Struthio camelus: one gene and its partner. The protein of the gene in region 1 purifies or fractionates together with the protein of each later gene. This does not show direct contact. Links are inferred from orthologs where the notes say so. Each region holds a gene or a part of one and is shown on either strand. Other genes may lie near its edges.

Region 1 (7,320 bases):
ATCTGAAGCGAGTACTTTTTGGGAATATTTCAGTTTTAAGGACTTCCATACTTCTAACACAAACCAAGTATCTGATCCAGGTTGGAGGAACAAAACAAAACATCATCCCTTAACCCCCCCCCAACCCAAAACTCCAAAAACACCCCCTGCAAAAACCCATTCCTATATCAAGACAACTTACTCTAACCCCATAACTAATCTAAAATTAAGACTTAAAGCATGTTAAAAGGTGAGTAAAAGAAAATGATTAAGAAAACTAAAGACAAACCAGGCTCCTCTAAACATCTATCAAAGTACAATCATTGCTGCAGCTTTATATCTTGCGGGTTTTTTTTTTAAAAACATACTTGAAGATGTTTGCATTGACAATGTACAGTTACCAAAACCTCACACTCACCAACAGCTTATTAGAAGATAGCTATTTCCATTTCTAAAGGAAAGTGCAACTTCAAAGAACACACACTCATATACCTGCTTCTCATTTTTAACAAAACCAAGCTTAGTGTTTTTTCTCACTTTTTCTATTCATCAGCAAAAATCCAAGCGCGGAAATAACACGATTTTCCCCACTACAAACAAAATCTAATGTCCACTAGAAAAATTTCAAAATATAACCTCTATGAGGAACACATTTAAAAAGAAATCCATTTGCAAAATTCTTCTTTATTAAAACACTACTTCAAGACCAAAATATTTTTTACTAAATATAACCATTTATAACAGCAGGTTGTAGACTTTAAGAATTAACACTGAACAGTTAAAGAACAACATATCATACCATTTTTGTGGTTTTAACCAGTGCAATCTAAGAAGTTTATATCCTATCATCATATTTTAAATTGCATACTATGGATAGCTATCACAGCAGCAATTTACAGAGTACATTTTCCAATAAAACCACAAACAAAAACTTTATTAACCCTCATTTTACTCACTTATTATCATTTACCTCATTATCTGCTTACAAATCCAGCAACCCCACCTTCTAATAAAAAAAAGATAAAATAAAATAATAAAAAAGGCAAGCAGCATTCTAATCAAAAAAGAACCAAGAGGATTGGTTATACCTTTACTATAGAAGAAGAAAAAAAGTGTTAGAGGATTCAGGCAAGACTGTTCTTAGCTAAGCAAGCACACATATACACATACACACTAACAAAACGCAAAATACTGTAGCTACACACTGAACATCCATCATACTTGCTTTAGTCCACCACCAAGCTACCAACCCACCATCTAGAAGTTAATAATATTACTCCCAAGCACTGAATTCTTCTAGCACATATCTTTATCTAATCTTCAAACGTTTTGAAAGCTGTCTCCACTTCTTTAAATAAATAATTTTCACAGCTCTAGGAAAATGAAGATCATTTATAGAGACAGATGCTAAATTTAGTTACTAACATGGCAAAACTTTATCATTTAATGAGACAAGGCAGAGCTTCTATTAAATATTCAATATTAGCCTAACTACCTCATCTTTCAGTAAGAATAGGTAGAAAAACAAACAACTTCCTTTATATCACGCTCTCTTCTTTCTACATAAATTCCCTCTTCACTTTCAGCTTTCTCTCCATTCTTCTCACTGCTCTTTTTGATTAATCCTCAACTATCCACTTAACTCACCCATAGCAAAGAACACAGAAGAACAAGGGCAAACATAAAATATATTTGTATTATGACCTCTCTTAATGCTACAAAATATGCTACATCAGCATTCATTTCCTCTTTTGAAATACAAAATTCATTAGGAAAAAAAAAAAAAAAAAGTTCTCGATCTTCTCGATCTACCAAAATATAAAGTACACCTAAGCAAGACCACAAGAACTAGGTAAACTTTTTTTCTTCCCAAACCCAACATCACAGCCTGATTACATACATGAGTTTCTTCTCCACCTGCCATGCAAAACCTCCACCTCCATTATACTGAACAAACCTTCCCACTCCAGTTCAATTCTCCTGGATGCCAGGCCACCCTCCCTGCACCACCTCCCCTCAAGCACTGCTCTCCCTACATATCATGTCCCATAATCCCTTTTCCTCCTCCCCATCCTAAGAAACTTAGGGGTACTCCCCTCAAAGGGGGCACATCATGCCAAGCCTCCTTTCCCCTCCTGTGCCCCTTCTCACCAAACTATTCACAACTCACAGCTTTGACACTGACCTCCCCCCCAACACTCCTACACATCTTGCACCCTCCTCCTTCCTTCCCCCCCCCCCAAACCCACCCCTTACAGATTTCCCCCAGGCCCACCCACGTCCTTCCTCCACCCCCTACAGGGCCAATCCTAAGAGAAGGGGCACCCCACACACCTGGGTAGGGCCTCCTCACCTCTCTCTCTCTTCCCATACTTCAAGTTGTGAAGGAAGAGGAACAAAAATAAACAACTCTCCTGTCTTCTCCTCCTCCTCTCTATCATCCACCTCGGACACGCTCCTTGTGCGGGGTGGAGCAAGGCCCGAGCCACAAGCCAGTGAGGGGTGGCAGAGGCCGGGCCCACCTCAAACCACAGTAGGCCCCCCCGCCTTGGCAACCGCAGGCCTGGTGTGCGCGCTTAGTGGCGATAGAGAAAGGGCTCGGGCCTGCCCGTAACGGACACGGCTGCCACCTCCCCTCCCATGACACTGCAAAGCGGGGCCTGGCCGCCGCCTTCCTCCTCCCACCATGGCCACTTTCCGCCACCAGCTCCCTAGGCCCCACTCTCATTAGCGGCGACGCCGCCATGTTGACCCCATCTCACACAGTGATATGCCAGGCCCTAACACCGGACCAGGCCCAAAGGCCCCTCCCCCCCGCGGCCTTAAATCTCTCACCTTCATGTCGGGACATCCTAGTTCAGAGGCTGCAGCCGAAGCCCGTCCCCAGGCTCCTGCTGGGCTGTTCAGGCGATGCTCCAGCCTGGGCCCCTCCCGCCGTACGCACTAAGCCCCAGGCGCGAAACGAGCAAGCAATAGAAAGGGGGGGGGGGGAGCAAAAAGGAATCTACTCCAACAGCCCCAGCCTGCCTCACTTTTTCTCCCTCCCTCTGGGGGGCGGATCCAGCAGCAACGACTTCCTAGGCACCCTGATACGGTGGCTCTTAAGCCCCGCCGGCTCCTAGTGCCGCCTTCCTCTTCCGCCGCTTTCCTCTACACCCCCCCTTTCTTCTTCTTCCTGAGTCCCCACCTCTGTTTCTTCTCCTGCTGCTATAGAAAGAACACTAACTCCTTCTTGTGCTTCTTAGCTCTAACCCCCACGTCGGCTCAAGACCTCGCGATTCCTTTCTTTCTCCACCCATTTTTTTCCCCCGTTCCTTTTCCGCCCAGTAGCTGCTTCATGCAGGAAGGAAGAGGAAGTACACAGCCAAGGGAAAGGGGGACCGTCACCACCCAACACGGAGAGCGCCGCGGAGCCGAGCGGAGCCCCCATAAACTGGATGGTGGCCCTTCCCTGTCCCTCCAAACTGGAAGAGACTGCTGTCTCTAGGCATTCTCCTAAGACGCAGCCTCCTCCACCATTCCAGCCTGTGACAGTTGCCCGCGTGTTGCGGAAGGGGGAGGGGACGAGTCCCCGATTGTTGTAGTAGACCATGCTGCTGTAGCGATGGGGCTGCACCTTTGCGGGTGCACGGAGACCTCCCTCCTCGTTCCCTACTGAGGAGGCTAGGGAGTGAGGAGTGGCAGCAGCCTTGAGGGAGGAGAGTTCAGCCCGGTGGTTCGCGATACTTCCTATTATCACTCCTCCTCAGTGTGGCTTGCAAAACCCCCTCTAATTCGGGGAGGTGCAGCAAGCAGCACTGAGTGTGACATGTGCCTAATGCTTCCTGTCCTGTCCCGGATGCCTGACTGTATTATACAGAACCTTATACAGAATGATGAAGAAGCAAAAAGTCTGTGACTTGCAGAATTCTGTTTGCCTTCCCTGCAATTTTTTGTCTTTTGCAGAAAAAGGCATTGGTCTGGAGAAGAAACTGTAAAGGTGAAACACCTATCAAACAATCCACCTCAGTCAAGCTCCTGCCTGAGCCTTGCAGCCTGTTTGCCTACTAGGCCGGGCAGCAAAATAAGCCCTGGTGTCACAGGAGGGTGGAGAATCATTAGTCAGCTATTTATTTTAAAAAGTACCTTTCCCCATATTTTCTTCTGACTCAGTCTCCCCCACCTTTCCCATCCAAGCTGTCCCCACCTGTCTTCATTTTCTTCTACCCCTGTGTTTTCATCTCTTATTCTGCTCCTGTCCCTCTGTTTTCTTTATCACCACCAATCCAACCCCCTCATGCTCTCCATCATCTTCCTTTTTTTTCTTTTGCCTATTAAGGGCTCAGTCTTCCTCTCTCCTTGTCCTCTTCTCCCCAATTACATCTTTCTCTGAATAGCTTTACAACCTTTCCTCAGTTTCCCTTCTGTACCTCACATCATGCTACAACCTCAGATGTCTTACTCCCACAGTTCTTGTACCCTTGTTCTCCTTCTCATCAGTCTGGAAGGCCACAAGAACCCACAGGCCAGAAGGACCCAAACACCAAGCTGCAAAGATAAGGCAAGAGCAAACACTAATGATTGGCAGGATGAGGTGCCCCATTTCATTCTTTGCACTGCATCCCATGCTAATCATATTATGCCTCTGCCTCTCCCCCCCATGTGTACACACTGCTTTCCTCTATGCTTTGTCTAGTCCTGCTTGCCTTCCATCACTTCTCTTCCATCTCTTGCAGTTTCTTAACCCCGATGCCTAGTGAGGGAATAACCTAGGCCCAGTCTCTTTGAAAACAGCAGTGGGTGGTGACTATTTTCATTAGCAGCAGCAGCTATATCTACACATGGAGGAGTTGTAAGGGAAATTGAGGGCCGTTTTGAGTGAGGGCAGCCAGTAGCTTTGCTACCGTTGAAAGCAATAGGAGGGCATCATTGTGGAGGGCAAAAAGTTTGCAAGAAACATGCAATAGATAAGAAACTAAAGAGAAATCCACAACTATGAGAAAACTCACTATAAAACTGTGAAAGGGGTAGATCCAGGATAGTGCTGGAGGCCAAAGCTTTGCATGTCTCTGCTGGTGTTACATAGCAACAGTGCACAGAGTGGGACAATGTGTAATGCAGCATGTCCTACTGCTTATTTTCAGCACTACCATTTTTAAATGCAAATGGTAGCTGTCTCATCCAGAGGCAAAATACAAATCATCAACAGTTCTTGGTTGATGCTCCTCCTCAGTCCTTAGAAAGGCTCTGTAGCAAGCTGTCTCAGAACTTATTGCCTCAGGTGATCAGCAATATCTTGTCTTCGTGTGAGGCTGTGGTTCCTGGTATATGTAACTATGCCCCCACTTTGAGCACTACACTACTATTTTGACCTATGCTTTGTTTCATCATATTCCTGGCAGACTGGCTTCCCATGAGAGCTCCTCTGCATATCTGGTTAGACAAAAAAAAACAGTCCTGCAGCCCAGGCATTTCACTGGGACTCAGAAGATTTGGATTCAGTTCTTGTTTCTGTCCTTGCAAGACCTTGGGCTAATCATCTCATCTCTCTGTGCTTCAGTTGTTAAATCCACGTCCAGCACACACTGGTGAGCACAGCTCCTTAGCAGCTCTGATGCCTGGGGCAGCCAAGCAGAATTTGTAGCCTCTTTTCCAGAGCACAGCTAACAGAGGCAGCAGTTTGCGCAGCAGCGTCTGGGCTCTGCTTAGAACCTCTGAGAACCTTGTTGGAGGTTGTGGGGGCTTTCTGGGGACCCTCTGAGGAACTAGATGGTGCTTACTGCTGACAGGGAAGAGCTAGGCAAGGACAACTGCAGGAGGCCTTAACTTCTCCTGGGAAGCTCTAGCTAGGTGTAGCTGCTGCTAACAAGCTCTGTTGGTTGCCCCTGATCAGAGGGAGTTGGGGCCTTTGTTCCAGCTGGCCCTGTGAGTCAGTGCTAGGCAGAGGCCTATATAAGAGCCAGGCCTAGAGTGCAGTGAGCAGATGCAGCAGTTTATGCAGAAGGGTGTAAAGAAGGTGCCTTCATCTCCAGTCATAGTAGCATACATTTCCTCAGATATGGTTATGATATGCTATGGAGCACATTTCCCCAGTAGCTGCTGGAGTTGCTGTGTTTGCCATGTCAGAGGCTTCTACCCAGACAGACCTTTTGACAGTGGATGCAGCTCTGCAGGTCTCAGGCTACAGGGAGTGCCTGGAGGCTCTCTGTGAGGCTGGGGCTGACAGTCAGCTCTCCTGCAGAAGGTATGCTGTTGTTGATGAGTTGTGTCACCAGGTAAAGGAGTTATGGGAGGAAGTCAGCAGGCTGCGTAGCATCCGTGAAGATGAGCGAGAGATAGATAGGATATTCTCAGAGACCTTACAGCTTCAGGAGTCTCAATCCCCCACAGCAGTGGAGGTGCAGGTGGGCTCTGTGCCATGTGGAACGGTAAGTCATAAGTCTGTAGGAGATGAAGGCTGCAAACTGGTCACCCCTTGTATGAGGAGAGAGGCTCTTGCTCCTCCTGAAGACTTGCAGTTGATGAACAGGTTCAGTGCCTTCCAAGCTGAGGAGGAGCTGGGTATGGCTTCAAGTGACCAGGCTGACAGATCCTATGCCACACATGAACACCTGGAAGAAGCGTAGAGTGGGTGATGTGGGTGACTCCCTGCTGCAGGGGACAGAAGCACCTGTCTGCTGACCTGACCTCTTGTCTAGAGAGGTTTGCTGCCTGCCAGGGGCTCAAATCTGAGATGTCATGGGAAGACTGCCGAGGCTTGTCTACACATCCAACTATTACCCTCTGCTGCTCTTTCACGTGAGCACCAAGGATATTGCCAAGGGCAACTTGGAAAGTATTAAATGTGACTATAGAGCTCTGGGGGTGGAGGTCAGGGGTCTGGGGGCCTTGGTCATTTTTTTCCTCAATCTTGCCAGCGAGGGGGAAGGATGGGAGGAGGAGTAGATGGATTCTCCAAGTAAACAACTGGCTGCGCAGCTGGTGTTGGCACCAGGGTTTTGGTTTCTATGACCACGGGACTGTGTTTGAAGATCAACAACTGAGTGGGAGAGATGGGACCCACCTCACCAAATGGGGCATATGCATCTCCGCCAACAGGCTGGCCAACCTGGTAAGGAGGGCTTTAAACTAGGAGAGATGGGGGAAGGGGAGAGTTATAGAGACCATGCAGTCAGCGAAACAGGGCTCAAGCAGGGATACCTCCAGCAAGTGCATGCAGGAAAGGAAGTACCTACAAGAAAAGACTCTGGGGAAACCTCTTGTTGCCTTTCTGGGAAATCATCATGCTTGAGTACCTCTCTGAAGTGTCTGTACACAAATGCATGCAGGATGGGGAATAAACAGGAAGAATTAGTTTGTTTT
Region 2 (7,260 bases), on another chromosome or scaffold:
AGAATGCATATAAGGTAATGTTTGTTACTGTTGTTTTAAAACTGAGTATTGTATGGCACCCAAAGTGCAGTAGTAGCCTTTGTAAATACAAAGGGAGAGTTGACAATATAAAAAACCTAACACATGAACAGGGTGGAGGAAAAAGATGAAGCCAGACCACTGATAAGCATTATTCTTTTATATCAGTGCAAATAGAGAGATAGAGGAGAGAGAGAGTGAGTGTCTGTGTGCCAAGTGATAGTTCCTCATGGGATCTGCTGGAGGAATTCGTTAGCCCTACTCTTGGCTAGACCACTGAATTCAGTGGCTTTGGCAAATCAAGAGATGGCAGTGTGAGCCTATCATAGGGAGGGAGTTAACTGGTACCTGCAGCTGATGGCATCCCCTTGCCTCACATCTATCCTTTAGAAGAGCTGTGAACTCTCTGAACTTATCCTTGGCACCTGGACTTGTTTCAGCCATAGTGCTTTTGGCCTCTGGATGGGATACCTAGGGAATTCGTTGTTTGTACATGAAGCAACTGTTGGGAGCCCTGTACTGCTGTATAATAATCAAGAGTGGAAATATGTCATAAAAAAGTGTTTGTGCTGGATGCAAGCACTTTAAACAGATCTCTGCTTCCAGGACTGCAACGTAGGATGGCAGTGCTCAGCATTTTGCATTGCATCTTTCTCCTTAACCCTGTGCTAAATCTCCCTGTAAATAATTGTACTTATGGTGCCAATTCATTGGCACCATTTTCATTCTTTTGATATCCTTCTTTCTTCTTTTTGTTTTATTTTAGAGTCCCAATCCACTACTCACTTTCAGTGTTAAGACACATGACCGGATATACTATATGGTTGCTCCAACGCCAGAAGCCATGAGAATATGGATGGATGTTATTGTTACAGGCGCAGAAGGCTACACCCACTTCATGTTATAATAAAATGGGGCAATAGGGCATATTGCAATAACCTAACATATGAAGTTAGCCATATGTAGTAAAATCCGAAAAGCCACATACATTGCTGGTGAATGCTCAGAAATACCCTCCTTATGATGTGCACCCAAAACGTCAGAATGAAAGGGTTTTATAAATGCACTGAAAAGGAGGACCTGTTGCTTATTTTAGTTGATCTGTATAGGAGCAAAAGAGCTAAAGCTGTTCAGTCATAGTGCTCTGAAATGGATAATCAGGCAGTTTGAATGACAGCATCTTAATTCAATGATAGTTTTGTAAAAATTCTCCTATACAGAGAATGTCTTCATAAACTCATACTAAACAGTTTACAAATGTGCGTGTTCTCATCTGTATGCAACAATTCTAGTAATGGAACAAAAAGGTATAATAGCATATATTTTAATATGCAACATTTGACATTTATAGATGATTAGCTGACTTTTTAAAACTCTTTTAGTCAAGTATTTTATAAAACAAAAAGAAAAAAAAAAGGAAACCTAAGGTACACACACTTGCCTTAGTAGTTAAGCATTACAACAGAGCCAAAGAGTTATACAGTTCCCCTATCATAATGTTTTTCTTTTTCAAATTGTTAGTTGTACTTTAGCTTTCTGTAATAGGACAGTGCCAAAACTCTTCCTGACTTTTAACATAATTAAATTGTTAAAATATTCTGTATAGTCAAATAACCCAGTTGCACCAACTGGATATTTTGGATATTTAAAGTCTGCATCTGTGGAGCTCAACAAAAAAAAAAAAAAAGCGGATAGCTTTATAAAGATGGATTTTTTTCCACAAGGTGATATTTAAAAAAAAAAAAAAAAAAGGAAACTGACATTAGAAGGAAACTTTATCGTAAGGAGGTGTTTTCTTAAACTGCCTTGTTGAGTAAATTGCGCTGGATCTTACACCAATTTTCTTTTGATGTAGTCAGGTCCCAGAATGGTTCTAATCTTACTGTGTGCCAAGTGAACGCTCTACTCAGATGTCTCAGATACTGGTCCCTGTGAGGCCCGTGTCAAAATTCACTGAAGCCAAGATTTCAGTCTAGAATATTTGTTTTTTATATGCATGTCTGTACAAAGTAATGCTGTCACATAGAATGCAAATAAAGAGGCAAGTTCTAAGAGTTTACACTAAGCAGTGTATAAAAAAAAAAAAAAAAAAGAAAAAACCCAAAGTTTTAAGTAACTGAAATCTGAAGATACAGTGGTCCCCCATTTTAAAACTACTTTCAGGTCCTTGACAAATGTTGCAAAAACATAGAAGTATTTAATGGAACTGAATTTCAAGAAAGTCTCATATATTACGACTTTAACGAGGTCCTCATTCCAGTAAGTAAGAGTTGTATGTGCTATGTGGTTTGTGTAAGTAAAGCAAGCCCATCAGACATTTTCCCTTAATGAAAAGTTAATGGCTTTTGATGGAGCAAATTAAAAACTGAAAGCAGAAAACAAAATAGGCTGACAGTATTTTTATTGTACTTTTAAAACCCTGTATCTGTAATGAACGGGTATTAATTTTTTGTGGTATACACAGGTGACATGGTTGGTCTAGCATGATGTACACCACTTGTGACTTGAATCATGAAAGAAGGGACAGTTATCATCTGTGCAGATCACCATAAGACGCTTGTAATCTAACGATTTAAAGCACTATCAGAAATTAATTGCTTTGGTTTATATAATTATTATTGTTCCCTGATGTATCTTGATTTTACTTATAAGTATGGTTTTCTAATCATGATTTTTGTATCCTGCATGATGCAATGAAGGCATTTCAGTAAATGTTTTTAAAAATACGTGTGTTTTAAATATTCACCTCATTCTTCATTTTGAGATTTTTCTGCTTTTCTTTTAAACAATTTTGCATACACTTGTGTAAGCAGTTTTGTCTTTCTCAGTAATAATTATTCTAGCCATTCCTTTTTTTTCCTCAGAAAAGAGCAACAAAAAATAATACTTCAGGAATGGCAGTGAAATTAGGAGCATAGTCTGTTTATTGCATATACATAACTTACCGATTTTTACAATCCACCCAGTTTGAAAATTGTAAATCAACAGCCCTGGAAACTTTTTGTTTAACTACAAAATAGAAATTGCTGTATCTCACGATTTTCACAGTTTGGCTAATATTTTGTTTTGATTGTGACCCTGACGGCAGGCGATAGCAGCGCCCTCCTCATAGGAGCCCATGCAGTTTGTGCCTCCTTCAGGAGGATTTCCGTTGCCATCACACACACGCAGAGGGGTGGGTTTTGCACTGGTGCACATCAAGACGGAGTAACCTACGCAGTTTTGCCATGTACCATGTTAAGCCAAGAGCGGTAGGCTCCATCTCCCACGATCAGCCAGCGAGCCCAGCAAGCTTGCCTGCGGGGCAGTCGGGTGCCTCCTTTACCTTCGAGCATGCCGGGATGGGGCATTTACAAAACACCGGGGCTGTATCCAGCAGCTTCCACCGCTGGTGGGTTGGTAGGTGCGTTGCTGGCCCTTTCACGCAGGGACATGGCTGGCACTTCCATGAGGGAACACCCTTGGCCCTGTGGGCGCTGACTTCTCTTAGCGTTATTTCCTTTCTTTTCGGGTGCCCGCCGTGGCCGGTATATAAAAGGTACAGGGGGTCAAGAGCTGTTCGAAGTAAAACCATGTTTTGGCAACCTTGGCCTTTATTTGCATGGACGAGTACTGGCGGGGGAAACGGTAGCTGAGGATCAGTTACTTAGAAGGGCCGGTAGGTGGAGAAATTGTTAAGCGCTAACGCTGCCAGACGGGCGACCGAGGGAGGGAGGAACGGGTCTTGAACGATCCTTTCTGGCCGCGCCTGTAAGAGCCACGTAGTTACATGCAACAAAATGTCTTAGGCCCACGTATCTAGAGAATACCTGAAATACTCGACTTTTTTAGACTGGGTCTTACGAGCCCTTAAACAGAGAGGCCTCTGCCGACGATCACCCCTCGGGAACACATCGCCTCTAAGGCAACAACGCCCATGACGCGTTTGGGGTAAATTTTAGCTTTCCCTCCTCAACACCAGCCCTAACGGCCGCGGGAAGGCGGCAACGGCCGCGGGGGGCGGGGCACCCCCTGCCGCGCGGCCCCGCCCCTCCCCGGGCCGCCGCCAGCAGCGAGCAGCGAGAGCGCACGCGCGCCCCTTCCCGGCGGGCCCACGGTGGGCGGGGGCGCGCATGCGCGTGGCCTGCCTCTCCCCCACTACGGCGGGCGGCGCGTGCGCAGTGAGGCGCGTCCTCCGCCCGCCGCCGTGCGGGGCGTGCGTTGGCGGCCATGACGGCGGCTGCGGGCGCGGTGCGGGGGCTGCTGCGGGGCGGCGGCGGCGTTGCCGCCGCGGGCTGCCTGGGGCGGGGGGGCCGCCACGTCTCAGACCCCTTGCTGCCGCTGCAGGCTGCCCTGGGGCTCGCGGGTAAGGGAAGAGCCGCGGGAGGGCCCCTGCTGGTCTTCCTGAGCTGGCCCTCGGGCGCCGGGGGCGTCAGTCAGTCAGGTTGGGGGGCGGGGGAGGAATTAGATGTGTCACTGTCTGTCAGTCAGGCAGTCGGTAGGCTTAGGGAGGTCATCTCCCCCCCCATGCCCCCCCTCCCTCCCCAGCCGCCCTTCAGCGCGGTGGCCCGGCCGTTAAAGTCCGTTAGCGGCCGCGTGCCGGGTGCGCGTGGGCTGCCGCGCCCTTTGCCGCCTGAGGGGGAGGAGGCGCGGGGTGCCCGCCGGGACCGCGCGGGCCCGTGTGCGCGCTCGAGGGGCAGCTGCCTTCCCGCAGGGGTGTGTTCACGCCCTCCTGAGCGCCTGCTGCCGCTTTCGGCGGAGCTGGAAAACGGAGGAGGTGGCCCAGTTCGCTTGGCTGTGCGTGAAACGTGCCTAGGGGCGAGGCCGCGCCAGGCCGCTGAAAGGCTCTACCGGCCTCCGCTGTTGAGCAAAGTGCTTCGCCTGCCCAGACACAAGGCTGCTTTCTCGCTCTTCCAGACCCAGTGCTTGTCTAATTTGTGGAGTTTTTCCAGTTCCCTAAACTTGACAAAACTGTTCGCTTTTCTTACTGAGGGGGTGAACCTCCCCTGAGGCTACTGAAAGTAGTAGTGAATAAAAGTGTTTGCTGCTGCTAAGGGTGTGTGTTGTGTGTCTGCATAAAAATCTACTTGCAACGATTTTTCTTGCTTTTTTTTTTCCATTGAAGTTTAGAGGAAATGATTGTGATGTGATCAGAGCAGCTGATCGTTGAGTGTGCTGTCAGGTGCTCTGAGAGTGGGCTAAGCAGCAGTTCCCATTGGTGTCCTGGTGGCCTTTTTAACCCCGTAGCAACAGTGGTTGCATGAAGCAAAGTGTGGACAATGTAGAGTCTGTTATTTAGAAGAGCTGTGTTTGTCTGCTACTCCTCTTCACAGTCGGTAGGTTATAGAGCTTGAGCTTCCCAAGTTGTTCACAGCGTTTCTGTGGCTTTGGTTAAGGCTTCCACCTGTGCAGTTCTGGCCTCATTTGCGGTGGCTCTTGGTCATAACACAAATTTGCACAGTGTTTCTGGTATGAGAGAGTTCCATAGTATCAGACAAGGCTTCTGGGTCTTCCTGTGGCTGCCTTCTGCTGACCGTCGCTTGCAGTAATCTGCACCCTTCAGAAGTGCTTCCCTGATCTTACTGAGGTCTTTCAGTGAAATCAGGAGAAGAAATTGCTGGGTGGATGTTCAGTTATTAATGTTCTCGACTGATGTAAAGAGAAGTCTGAGAACATGGCTTATGTGAACTGTGCTTTCAGATTGGCTGGCTAGGGCATAGGCTTTAGTTTTTTGCATTATTCAGGTTAGGATTGCTGCCGGCGCGTTGACAGTATCAGTTGTCAAATGTACAAGACTAGTTTGTGGAGTAGCTTAGAAAGCAGTTGCCTTGTAGCTGCAGTTTAAAGCTTGCTCAGTGTCAGAGTTTGAAGGCACCCTCCAGAGCGCTGCAGAATGGAAACCTAAGCCCTGCAGAGGTGGTTAGGGTTTATGGAAGAGAACAATATTACTAATTCTTTCTCTCAAGTGTAGTGCTTTCTGGTGTATCAAATCTGTTGTTGGCGGGTGAAGGAGTGACTGACTTCCTGGCATAGACACAAACAAAAAGCTGTAGTGTGGACACGTCTCAATAAATAGACCTTTACTGTGATATTTATCTCCTTCATAATAATAGCAGCATTGGTAGAGTAAAAAACTGTTCCAATTTTTCAGGAAAGATTTATTGTTTTAAATCTGTAGATCAAATTTTTAGCTCTTATATTTTAACTGTTAGCATTCAGTGTTTTGTAATATTTAGCATCTTTTCTGTGTGCCCCTTTACTCATGCGTGTGCAAGTTAATACAAAAAGCTTGACTGTAATCTCTCTGATAGTGAGAAAACAGAACCCAAAGCTGCAGAACAGTTAAAAGGTGTAATACTGTCAAGGCCTGTTTTTGCAGAATCTAGCTACTGGTTATGTCCCCGGGGAGCCCTTGTCTTTCATTTTGGGTAGCATGGGCTTTGTACCCCGCTATTGATTTGCAGTATTCAAGAACAAATCCTCTTTTATTCTAAGAATTAAAAGTATCAAAGTCTTATCGGAAGTCTAGACCAAGCTTTCAGTTTAACAAATTATCTTGCGAAGTGGGATAATAGAGGGGATTAATTCTCACTAACACCTCTGTACAAATCACTTACCTTCACCCACAATAGACAGCTAAACTTAGATTAAATGTGATAACAGCCATTGAGATTCAGTGTAGTATTCATTAGTCATTATTGACTTTGATAATCCTTCTTCCTTGTTTGAAACCAGCTCAAATTTTTGATAGTTATTGGTATGAATAACAGAGTCCAACCTAATGTTTCTTTTCAAAATATGTCTGGTTTGCTGTCTTGAACTAAAACAACATAATTTCATAAGTTCTCGGTACACTGATATGAAACCTTCCCTTTCTTCTAATAATGTGTAGCAGATGACTTTGCCAGAAGTTGAGCCAAACCATCTTGCATTTTTAAAATATTTGCAAAATACTTAGATTTGCAAAGTGGTATATTTTATTCTAGATAAATGTGGAACAACATGAGCACTGGAATAATTTATCTACCCTAGCACGAATACCCATCAAACCGTGTGATAAGATGTCTGTGTCTGTTCAGGAGGTGATTAAAAAAATCACACATCTGCGAAGGTCAACTGTGTTTCTTCTTATGGGATGTGTTTAATTACGTTACTCTGTATTTACAGAAATTACAAGTTTTTTTTTTTTTTTTTATCTTCTGTGATTCATGTCTGGGAAAAAGACTGATGTTAAGGTGGCATATGTTAAATAATTTGATTCAG

What was found.
Region 2: the proteins of KCMF1 (region 1) and ABHD10 purify together in Homo sapiens (affinity purification with mass spectrometry; 3 studies listed by BioGRID and IntAct, counting the BioPlex papers as one, with this or other methods). This does not show direct contact. The link is inferred for Struthio camelus from reciprocal best matches to the Homo sapiens genes KCMF1 and ABHD10.

Annotation. Positions count from the first base shown.
Region 1 is NC_090981.1:8,344,757-8,352,076, reverse strand, and holds the start of KCMF1 (E3 ubiquitin-protein ligase KCMF1), read right to left. Parts: upstream 3,034-7,320; 5' UTR 2,831-3,033; coding exon 2,815-2,830; intron 1-2,814. UniProt on the Homo sapiens protein: E3 ubiquitin-protein ligase which accepts ubiquitin from an E2 ubiquitin-conjugating enzyme and then transfers it to targeted substrates, promoting their degradation by the proteasome.
Region 2 is NC_090942.1:102,380,929-102,388,188, forward strand, and holds the start of ABHD10 (palmitoyl-protein thioesterase ABHD10, mitochondrial), read left to right. Parts: upstream 1-4,176; 5' UTR 4,177-4,227; coding exon 4,228-4,363; intron 4,364-7,260. Other genes in the region: PHLDB2 (pleckstrin homology-like domain family B member 2), read left to right, coding at 1-14, 785-925. UniProt on the Homo sapiens protein: Acts as an acyl-protein thioesterase that hydrolyzes fatty acids from acylated residues in proteins.